3 linked regions of the Xenopus tropicalis genome follow. The protein of the gene in region 2 interacts with the protein of the main gene of each other region in a biochemical or structural test. Links are inferred from orthologs where the notes say so. Each region holds a gene or a part of one and is shown on either strand. Other genes may lie near its edges.

The links.
Region 1: the proteins of nfkb1 (region 2) and map3k8 form a complex in vitro, tested with the Homo sapiens proteins (2 studies listed by BioGRID and IntAct, with this or other methods). The link is inferred for Xenopus tropicalis from reciprocal best matches to the Homo sapiens genes NFKB1 and MAP3K8.
Region 3: the proteins of nfkb1 (region 2) and dpf2 form a complex in vitro, tested with the Homo sapiens proteins (2 studies listed by BioGRID). The link is inferred for Xenopus tropicalis from reciprocal best matches to the Homo sapiens genes NFKB1 and DPF2.

The regions. Positions count from the first base shown.
Region 1 is NC_030682.2:23,823,443-23,827,590, reverse strand, and holds the start of map3k8 (mitogen-activated protein kinase kinase kinase 8), read right to left. Parts: upstream 2,804-4,148; 5' UTR 2,462-2,803; coding exon 2,446-2,461; intron 1-2,445.
Region 2 is NC_030677.2:73,654,858-73,658,973, forward strand, and holds the start of nfkb1 (nuclear factor NF-kappa-B p105 subunit), read right to left. Parts: upstream 2,931-4,116; 5' UTR 2,625-2,930; intron 1-2,624.
Region 3 is NC_030680.2:32,327,696-32,331,348, forward strand, and holds part of dpf2 (zinc finger protein ubi-d4), read right to left. Parts: intron 1,749-3,653; coding exon 1,602-1,748; intron 1,236-1,601; coding exon 1,107-1,235; intron 100-1,106; coding exon 1-99. UniProt on the Homo sapiens protein: Plays an active role in transcriptional regulation by binding modified histones H3 and H4. Is a negative regulator of myeloid differentiation of hematopoietic progenitor cells. Might also have a role in the development and maturation of lymphoid cells.

The sequences.
Region 1 (4,148 bases), on a different chromosome or scaffold from region 2:
ATGGCAATACTTACTGCAGCTGAGCCATAACAATCTCAAGCACGCACACACAGTATGCACTGTTTCTAATACAAACAGCCACTTATCATATATAAACACAGACAAACTGTATTGACCAATGCAACAAGGGATTGCCCGATGGACTGAACTCATGCTTTATCAGACCAAAAGACATGTGACAGACCAGGGGCTTAACCACTGAGGAAATCACTATAAATATCTCAGCACTTGCATTATAGTGAAACGAAAATATGCAAGTTATTTACTTTCCATCCAGCCCTACAAGGATCGGCGCAGACAAAGAACTGCACCAGGGAAGCAGAAAACAAGGACTTTCCCAGTTTCCAACACTCATACTTCCAAAGAAAATAACAAAGATTAAAGGGGAGGGGAAAATCCAAAAATAAACTAGAAAATGTAATACTTTCCAATACACATTCATTACATATTTTCAATAGTTTTAATGTTATATACATTTTATTGAAACTGTATGTCTGGCCATCTTCTGCCACATTGTTCCTAAAGTCAGAACCAGTAGACTTGCAATTGCAATTTGTTTATTTACAGTGCAGTAGGGCAGATTGTTAGCCTGGGTATAAACTGGCAGGCTGACAGTCATGGGGCCTTAACCTTGTACCCCGCAGTATATAACCTGTTACTCTCATTTGTTTGAGTATTTTGCACTTTAATGCCTTTGAGCCACCTTCTGAGCACGGGCCACCTACTGAGCAGCAAAAGAGCAATGTTTGGGCAAGCAAGATACAAGGAATGTGCATCTATAAATGGCGTCACGTAACCTCTGAGCCTAGAACAGGTGGATAAACAGGCACCATCCTAGAATAAAAGTGCACATGGTCCAAGAGAAGTGGTTTTCAGCATTATTCAGTTCAAACCCCTCGTTAGAGTGCATCATCAATCCAGGGCACCCTTAGCTCATTACAAGGCCACAGACATATGAAAAGATTGCTAAATCAGCCATAAATTCTAGAATATCTAACATAGCAAATAAGCACACACTAAAACTCACCCTAACTGTCCTTCACCCTGGGTCCCCGGGCAAGACCCTGAGCCACCTGGGGGGGGCAGCCCACAGTTTGGGAACCACTAAAGGTTAGGTGTATGAGGCTGCAGAAATAACATATTTCACACTGTCCAAAAATGGTACCAACCCAACTTGCATTACTTCTGACATTGCTAGGTAACTCAGTGTATTGTGGTGGGGCACATATTAATGCACATACAGAGCTCAGCTTAGGACTGAGGGTATGCATGGGATCTTTGGTTTACACCAGGTATAATATACAATAGAATACAATTATGGGATCCCTTATCCGGAAACCCGTTATCCAGAAAGCTCCGAATTACAGAAAGCCTGTCTCCCATGGACTCCATTTTAATTAAATATTTCAGAATTTTATAACTGATTTCTTTTTTCTCTGTATTAATAAAACAGTACCTTGTAATTGATCCCAACTAAGATATAAATAATCCTTATTGGATACAAAACAATCCAATTGGGTTTAATTAATGTTTTGTTGATTTTTTCCAAATTTTCCAAATTACGGAAAGGCCCCTTATCCGGAATACCCTTGGTCCCGAGCATTCTGGATAACGGGTCCTATACCTGTACAAGCTCTTATCCTCATCCCCCTCCCACTGAATGCACAGGGGGTTTATGTGTGGGTTCAAACTGCAACCATCAGTACAATATACAGGATCAAGCAGGTCTGAAGCCAGACCCAGCAGCTATTAGAAGGACACGGATATAAAGATGGTCTCTTACGATTCCTAACTGTTATAGCACCCCACGTAGCTACTCAGCGTTCCTTCTGCATTGATAGAGCAGAGCTACATAAAGGAGCTACATTAATCACTTTAGAAAGTACCATTTACTAATCCAACAGCCTGTTGGGTGGAGAAAGGTTGGAACAAAAACAGAACTGTTCCAGCAGCTCCAGTGCACATGACTGATTCCACTGGTCAGAGACTGCAGAGAGCTGGGTGCCTACACTGATAGATTTGTCTTTTGTTAAATGTTTTTTGTTAACACCATACAACAGACTCTGTAAAGGCAGGACTGGGGGGCCTGGAACCCCACCATTCCCCCTTGCACCCCTGCCACCCTGTGTTGCCTAATGCAAGTGAGTGCAGGGGGTGAGGGAGCAGCTGGGGGTGCAGCTCATTACAGGCAGTGAGGGCCCCCCAAAATACTACCCCACTGGCCTCCACTTTGACAGAAAATATATGTGCCCCCCTGTACAGTAGCCATTTCATCCAGCCTGGCCATAGTGGGCATAAGGGCAACTCAGTATCTAAAGCTTCAGAACATATATATTAGCTTGGCACCCAGTGAGAAGAACGTTACCATGGAAACTGGTGTCTCTGTGAGTTGTGTAGGAGTCCTCCCTGCCATCCCCACAGTGCCAGCCGCAGCCCCATTCCTACCTTTGTGCCCGGGCATGGCTGTCCCGGCTCCGCCGCTGCCTCACACGGCTCCCATGTTCCGACTGTGCCGCTTGCTGAACTGAGGGCTGGAAAGTCCAAAACGGGGAGGTTCCATGAGCGGCGGCACGGCTCTTCCTGGAAATGATGAGAAACAACAAGAAAAGCAGGAGATTCTATTAACCCCGCCAGTGCCAGGGAGAGGAGCAGTGTGGCAGCTCTCAGTGTAACTCTCGCTGTGTCCCCCAGGGAGGAAATCCCCACACCCCCGCTGCTCATTTGCTTATCCCCGGGGGAGACTCTCTGTGCCGCTTATCTGCCTGCTGCACTCACACAGAAACTCCCAGCAGCCTCAGCGACTCCCAGTGAGCAGCTTCCATCCCAGGGGGGATTCACTGATACCAAGTGACACATACAAATAGCCTGGTGTTGCACTATAATTCTTAGCCCTGGATATGGTGGGCTACAGAGAGAGTAGTACAGGTATAGGACCCATTATCCAGAATGCTCCGGACCAAGGGTATTCCAGATAAGGGATCTTTAAAATCAGTAAAACATTAATTAAACCCAATAGGGCTGTTCTGCCCCCAATAAGGGGTAAGTATATCTTAGTTGGGATCAAGTACAGGTACTGTTTTATTATTACAGAGAAAAGGGAATCATTTAACCATTAAATAAACCCAATAGGACTGTTCTGCCCCAATAAGGGGTAATTATATCTTAGTTGGGATCAAGTACAGGTACTGTTTTATTACTACAGAGAAAAGGGAATCATTTAACCATGAAATAAACCCAATAGGACTGTTCTGCCCCAATAAGGGGTAATTATATCTTAGTTGGGATCAAGTACAGGTTCTGTTTTATTATTACAGAGAAAAGGGAATCATTTAACCATTAAATAAACCCAATAGGGCTGTTCTGCCTTCAATAAGGGGTAATTATATCTTAGTTGGGATCAAGTACAGGTACTGTTTTATTATTACAGAGAAAAGGGAATCATTTAACCATTAAATAAACTCAATAGGGCTGTTCTGCCCCCAATAAGGGGTAATTATATCTTAGTTGGGATCAAGTACAGGTACTGTTTTATTATTACAGAGAAAAGGGAATCATTTAACCATTAAATAAACCCAATAGGGCTGTTCTGCCCCAATAAGGGGTAATTATATCTTAGTTGGGATCAAGTACAGGTACTGTTTTATTATTACAGAGAAAAGGGAATCATTTAACCATTAAATAAACCCAATAGGACTGTTCTGCCCCAATAAGGGGTAATTATATCTTAGTTGGGATCAAGTACAGGTACTGTTTTATTACTACAGAGAAAAGGGAATCATTTAACCATGAAATAAACCCAATAGGACTGTTCTACCCCAATAAGGGGTAATTATATCTTAGTTGGGATCAAGTACAGGTTCTGTTTTATTATTACAGAGAAAAGGGAATCATTTAACCATTAAATAAACCCAATAGGGCTGTTCTGCCTTCAATAAGGGGTAATTATATCTTAGTTGGGATCAAGTACAGGTACTGTTTTATTATTACAGAGAAAAGGGAATCATTTAACCATTAAATAAACCCAATAGGGCTGTTCTGCCCCCAATAAGGGGTAATTATATCTTAGTTGGGATCAATTACAAGGAGAGAAAGGAAATCAGTTTTAAAATTTTGAATTATTTGATTAAAATGGAGTCTATGAGAGACGG
Region 2 (4,116 bases):
CTTTGTTTGACTCTAGATATCTTAAATACAGGCCTCCCAGTACAGGTGGGATAGAATTGTATTGTGTACGAGGAAGTACAGAATAATCCCCACCTCAATAACATTTTATTAGAAATTCACAGGGAATTTTATAGGTGATGATGAGTAAGCACATAACAAAACAGCATTCAGTCAGTTGATGTTTACTCATCGTGCCTACTCTTTAATTTGAAAGTGTTTTCAACAACACAATAGAAAAGAAAATACCATTCTATGCAACTTTAAATATACATGAACTAATAATTTTTTGTGGTTTTTAAGTTTTCCTGCATTTTACACCATTGTTTTGTGGTCCAACTAATATTTAACACATAATAAACTTCCCTGATTTTCCATTTTTCCAGATTTTGCACCATTTTTTTCTGGTCCCCTGAAAAACGTAAAATGGGGGTACTACTGTATTCTATGCACTATTGGTTCTGACTCTTGAAACCCAGAGCCAGAGAGAAAAGAATAAAGAAATACTGCTTTAATAGCAATTAACAGCATTGATTTTTAATCAGCGTATATTGGAAGTTTGCTTAGAATTAAGTTTTCTATCATTTTACAAAAAGGTTTTTTAGGCAGAGATCCCCTTTACAGCAACCATTCATCATCATATTTGATCTTAATACAATATTTGCAATAAATTGATATTTAGCAAGTTGTGTGTCTAAACATAAAGACTGGCCAGGTAAGACACAATACTGGTATGCTAATAGAAATACAGTATATAAGTGTAATAGATATTTGGTAGATTTTTTAATACGTCTCCCAGTTCATATAGCTGACAGAAGAGTTTTTTTTATTTCACTGATATATAAACTAGATCCTGTGCTACTTGAACTTTTTGTCTGAAATCCCAAATGACATGGCTGAATCAGCTTTGTTACTGAAAAAATTGCCTTGTTTTCATTGCAATTTTCTATTTTCTATACAGGTATAGGACCCGTTATCCAGAATGCTCGGGACCAAGGGTATTCCGGATAAGGGGTCTTTCCGTAATTTGGATCTCCATACCTTAAGTCTACCAAACAATCAATAAAACTGCAATTAAATCCAATAAGATTGTTTTGCATCCAATAAGGATTATTTGTATCTTAGTTGGGATCAATTACAAGGTACTATTTTATTACTACAGAGAAAAGGGAAATCAGTTTTAAAATTCTGAATTATTTGATTAAATTGGAGTCTATGGGAGACGGGCATTCCGTAATTCGGAGCTTTCTGGATAATGGGTTTCCGGATAAGGGATCCCATACCTGTATCTGAAAATTCTTCATAATGTAAAAAGAATTATGGAGGCCCACCCAAAACAGCATGGGAACCTTATTCTGGGTCCTGATCCATAGGTTAAGAATCCTCATAATACTCAAAAGCCTTGAATAACCTAAATAATACAGGTATGGGACCTGTTATCCAGAATGCTCAGGACCTGTGGTTTTCCAGAAAAGGGGTCTTTCTGTAATTGGGATCTCTTAAGTCTGCTAGAAAATAATTTAAATATTATTTAAACCCAACAGGATTGTTTTGCCTCCAAAAAGGATTCAATATTTCTTAGTTGGTATCAAGTACACGGTACTGTTTTATAATTAAAGAGAAAAATTAAATGGGTAAGGTCCTTAGGGGGGCCAAAACGTCACATTGGCTGCTCATGCTATGATAAATACAATATTATTTTCATCACATTAAGCTCAGTGTTGCCAGTCCTCTCTACTTGCAGAATATTTCTATTGTGACACATAACTTGTGAATATAAACTGTTATTCCTTAATATCTATGCTATTACTCTTTTTATACAGTATAGCTGAGATTGTTTATTTTAGAGAAAGCCTAATGGATAGAAGTTAGTAGATGCTAATCTGAGGAGCCTGGACCAAAACAGATGCAAGCAAACGTTCAAAAGTCAAAGAAAGGCCTCATATTACACTACACCAGTCTATTCTGTCTATCTTGCATTACCTTATTAAAAAGAGAGTAATGCTTTACAAATCACTCTCACTTAAATGTAACACAAAGATGCAGCAAATGTTATAGGTAAAAAGAAAGCTGCAGACAGAAAAGATTTGTAATTTATCAAGATTCAGTGAAGATGTTTTTGTTGATACAAATTCAGCAGTTGTTTGTTCATACAAAGTAGCATCTATGGTACAAAAGCCAGGCTCCCAATGAGCAGTTTGTGTGTTAACCCCAAGCATCACGCTTCTTCCATCACTGACAGTTTTTCTAGAGCACATATGGACACTGCTCACACCCACTGAGTGATTACTCTTGTCCCTATCACCGTTGGGGAAACAGAATCACAAGGAAGTAGAAGTGTAAGAGGCTTGGGAAGAGAGGTGTTCTGAGCTGTATCAATGATTTCCCCCTGTATTAAGCACAACCTTTGCCTTTAAAGCAGTGTAACATTAGAGCAGGGCTGCCCAGTTGGTAGGCTCCAACACAGGGGGCAGGAATCCCGGGGGGCACAATATTGCGCACATGTGCGCCGGCATACAAGGAAGTGCCTCAGGGTAAGCTCAGCTCCGATGAATGCACTTTGGCACTCAGTGACTGGAACCCATCATCAGGCAAGCAAAGGTTTTCTATATCAGCTTCCTTCTTACCTTGCACTGGTTATAGTTACTGGCCGTCTTTCCCGATTGAGTAAATGAGTGACAGCCGCAGTAATGCAAAGAATTGCGTGTTGGTGATGGACAGGACGCGCTGCCGTGCGAGCCAGATAATGAATGACACCTCCTCAGCAGGCTCCTGTCTAGCTGTCCATTGCAGCGAAGGGCAGAAAAGTGAGAGCCCGGGCGCACAGCCGCACTCCTGCCTCTTTCAGTTTCCTTGTTTTCTCTTTGCTCGGGGCGGGCTCAGCCTCTCGCCTCCTCCCCGCTGGAGGGGTTTGTGCGGCTTCTTCTGCCCATCATAGAGAAGAAGTAGCTGTTGTTCTCACTTCCTGCCTGGAATTTCCCACTTGCTGTCACTTCGACCGGTGGGAGGCCAGAGAGTAACACGATGCAACTTTATTCTATGCGTATTTTTCTCTTTCTCTGTCGCCGATTGTCAGCTTTCCCTTTTTGCACACGTGTCCTGACTGTACAATAAACATTTAGTACCTTGGGCAGCACAGAGACCATGCTACTTTATTCCATAGGAATGGCATTGCAGGTGTGTGGAGTAAGCAGCACAATGCTGGCCTACCCGCCTGGCTTCTTTGCCTTCCTTTTACAGTAAACCTAAGGCCCAAGGCAATGAATGGGAGTAACTGAACATAAAGATGCAATGTGTGCTGCCTGTGTGTGCAATACTCTGCCTGCGCTATGCTGCCTGTGTGTGCCATACTCTGCCTGCCCTATGCTGCCTGTTTGTGCAGCATAGGGCAGCATATATGTATGGCAAAGATGGCACCCTAAATGAAAATCCCACTGCTTTGAACACATGGCCTGTCTGGATTAAAGTTGTTTGTATATGTATAGATATTTTCCTATACCAGATGAACGTTGTAAGACTGATTGTTCGGTTTATAGAATTATGAATCATTAACACAGAAGGGGTCATTTACAAACTGAAAGGCAGGGTGCAATTCACCATCTTTTTGCACTTTGCACCCTACCTTTGAGTTTATAAATGACCCCTTTTGTGTTAATGATTCATTGTTCTATATACAGTACACCAAATAATCAGTCTTATGCCTTATATCTGGTATAGGACAATAGCTATACATTTACAGACAACTCTCTTTATCTGTATTTATTAATTACTTTGCAAAATGTATTGCAAAATTCACATATTATTTAAAAATAATGTTTCAGTGTTGCAGATATATGAAAATCATAGTTTTATCTTAATGGTCAACTTTAGAGTAACTAATAAACTTTAGAATTCATGGGAAATGTTCCAACAACCAAGGACAATTTAAAAGGGCTGAATACTGAGACTGAGTTGTGTATTACATAATGGTAGTACAGGTATGGGATCCCTTATCCGGAAACCCATTATCCAGAAAGCTCTGAATTACAAGAAGGTCATCTACCATGGACTTCATTATAAGCAAATAATTTACATTTTGAAAAATTATTCCTTTTTTTCTGTAGTAATAAAACAGTACCT
Region 3 (3,653 bases), on a different chromosome or scaffold from region 2:
TTCCGCAGATATTACAACATTTGCACTCTATGCACTGCCAGCGATAAGTCTTAACTGCCGCCATCATTACGGGTGTGAACTGCAAACAGGAAGGGTGCCCTGTGTCCACAACATAGTATGTAAGTGAATATTTTGCATACATATGTATCCAATATCTGCGTTCATCCAAAAACTAAAAAATACCATATTTCTGCTGACCTCTGCAACATGTGCATAGCAACCGGCTGTAAATCTCAGCAAGCTAATCTGATATTTCTGACCTGAGGATCAATAACTCAAATCATAGGGGAACTTTAGAAGGCAAGCTGCCAAATGTTGAAGGGAGTTAATTTGCTGTACAATGTTGCTGTATACATTTGTTCTATGGATGTACAAAAAAAAAAAAAAAAAAAAAAAAAGCAAAACAAATGATGGTGCCCCAATCCTGTCCCCCCGCACAGCGCTTAATCTTTAGTGTCGGAGAAGGTAAAGGTGGTGCCACATCACTAGTGCAGAAAAGTGCTATTGCACTCTCTGCACTAGAAGAAAAATAAAAAATTGTAAATTTGGCTTTTTGCTACCACTGTTAACTGGCCGGCAAAGTGGTTTAAAAGTTCATCCCCAACATTCATTTTGAGGTCCACAACCCACTTAGCTTATAGCAAGGTTTCAAATGAACCCGTTTTTCAGTTTTAAGAATATCTAGGGCTGCAAGTAAGTCTTCACTCCTCACTTAACCCTTCAATGGGGATTTCAGGAGTATCTAAAGTGCAAAAAAAAGCTCTCACCCTAATTGGCTTGCTACTCAGAAATTGCCCAACTTCCCCGATCCCCCATGCCCCTCTAAGTGGATGAGGCCCGCAGTTAGCCAAGAACTGCTCTAAATTATTAGCAGAATGCACATTTATATAGCTTCTAAACATATATATGCATCACAATATCCCATTTTAGAATATTTAAATTGAGAATTCCTGAAAAACATTATAGTTCGGAATTCCTATGAGTGTTAGGACAGCCCATTTGGGCCTTCAACTTTTAAATGCAAAAGCTTTCCAGTTAAAAATAAAATCAGATGCATCATGTAGTATTAAGTCTTCATCAAATACTAGAGTCTTCTTTTAACATACCAGAGCGGCCGCAGTCTGAGCAGGACACAAGCTCCTCAGCCTGGTTTGTTTTCTTGTTAATCTTAGAGTCTCCAAGGCAGAAGTCACAATAATTGTTTGGCAGTGCAAGACCATCTGGGCCCTTTTTGGCTGGGAAAAGATAAAAGCATCAAATATGTTGAAAAAGGAGAACAAGAAGGAACAAACTTAAAAAAACTATTTTGAATAACCTAAGTAATGCAATCCTAAGCAATTTTTGATATATACTTTTAATGATATGAAATGTATTTGTAATTGCTATTGAATTATTTGTAATTAATGAATTTGTAATCGCTTTTGAAAGCAACACCTAAAACAATGGTGCCCTAATCTACGCTACCATGGGCGACTAATCTCCCCAAAATGCTTTCCCACTAACAGTAAAGTGAATTGCCGGTTGGAAAGCATACATGGTGCTTCGTTTTCTGAAGTTGCCCAAACATTTCCTCTGCATTCTGTGTAGATGCCTAAACTTACATTTTTGTTCCTCTGGTCTCTGCATGATAGGAGTGGGAGGCTGAGAATCCTCCTTATCTTCTGCCCCGGCACCTTCTTCATCCACAAGGTGTGAGTGGGCATAATGATAGCTCAAACCAGGCCTGTTTTTATAGCGTTTTCCACAGACTGGGGGGAAAAAGCAGGACAGCAGAAAATGAAGAGTAGAAAGAAGTAATAAAGCATTAGTGCAATGATAAACATTAAAAAGAGTCAGGTGAAAAATCACTACCCCACCAAAACAGGAGGATGTATAACAAAGCAAAGCCACAAGGGAAACTGGGTGGCAGGAAAGGATAGTTTGCAGGTGTTTTACATTGGGGACAGATGTTACTGTTACAGTAAAAAAAGGTCATGTTTTCACAAAGAACTTAGAATGTATTTAGTAATTCAGCAATAATTTTGCAATATCAACCACTTTTTTGTGCCATAAGCTAAAAGACACCTACATAACTCAATATGCTTTATAAGGTGAAAGTAGAAAACATCATGTACCACACAGGAGTACCAACACAATACTGCCAGATGTAAAAAAAAAAATAAAGTTATTCTTTTATTGGAGGTACAGGTCCAACAGGCAGATCAAAGATCAAAAATGATTTTCAGTTTTTGAGATGATATTTTAAAGATGCCAGCTAGGATGGCACTGGAATGTCTGTGTGGTTGGTATTCAAAATCTAAAAGTGCACCTCCAAGTAAACCTCCCTGGACTTCAGTCTTCATGCTACAGCTTTTGGTTTAGGTATTTTAAATTCCTGTGGCTGAATATTTAGAAGCAGTTTGCCTCCAGGCCAGACTTTTACCAGCATAACTATAAAAACCTTAAACTTCTGCTTTGGGGTAGCCTGCTTTTAAAGTGAGAAAAAAAGCAAACAATGTTATTGAATTACGAAGCAGATAAATACCTCTGCACTTCTGATCTGGCAACAGAAACATGTGTTACACAAGGAGTAAGGAAGAGCACACAGACAGACAGAGACTAATCAGTCAGGCATGTTACATTGCCCCAGAACTTTGAGCCTGCTTGTTGCACAACATCCTGACCTGGGCACATACCTTACCAATTTAAGGTAAAAGGTTGTCCCAGATCCGGAGTAAGACCCCGATTTACATATATGGATGAAACAGTACCCTGAAATATATGTTTGTGTGACCCTATGGGTCCATTTCTTGATAGGTTTGTTTCTGCTACCTATTTTAATGATGCCTTAAGTCCCTTTAGAACAGAAATTATACGGAATTCTTAAGGTGGCCATATACTAATATTTGCTGGTAATGACCACTGAGCCTGTGGGCCAAAGGACGGATATTGTATTGTATCCATAAAAAGTGCATCCACCTTTCTACCATCTCAAATGACAGAAATCAAAAACAGTAGGAGCCGTGGCCAGTTGGGGGTGGGTGGGGGTCCTGAGATTAAATCCAGCAAAACCCATATATCTCTAGTTATGCCACTGGCTATGGCTTTACCTTCCCTTTGACAAACCAACCTATAAAAACTGATAAAGGATATCAGCCAGAAGTATTTGACAAACATATTTGAACTGAAGATAGGATGAAAAGCTTATCAGTATGTTTATGGCCAGCTTTAGAGGAGCATCTTCATGGAACATAACCTCCATTCCCAACACCCTTAAAGGAGAACTAAACCCTAAAGATGAATATGGCTATTTTATACTTTTTTTTTTTTTTTACTAAACTGACTGTACTAGCTTCAAGTTTTAGTATCTCTACAGTAGTATATAGTAGTATAGTAGTATATAGGTCTTTACAGTTGCCACAGGAGCTTCCCATCTTGGATTCTGTTAGAACTGTCCTGGACAGTGCACACGATCAGTGTTTTCTTGGCAGCTACTGAAAAGCTAAGCTTAGGGGTTGTCGCAAATGATCAAACTGAAAATGAGGCTGGCCTGTCAAACTGATGCTACAGGTCTAATTATAAAATTCTGATGCAAACTGCACTGGTCCCAGAGCTGCCATATAATGAGAATCTGAATTACTAATCAGCATTATACGGTTACATTTATATTCTAT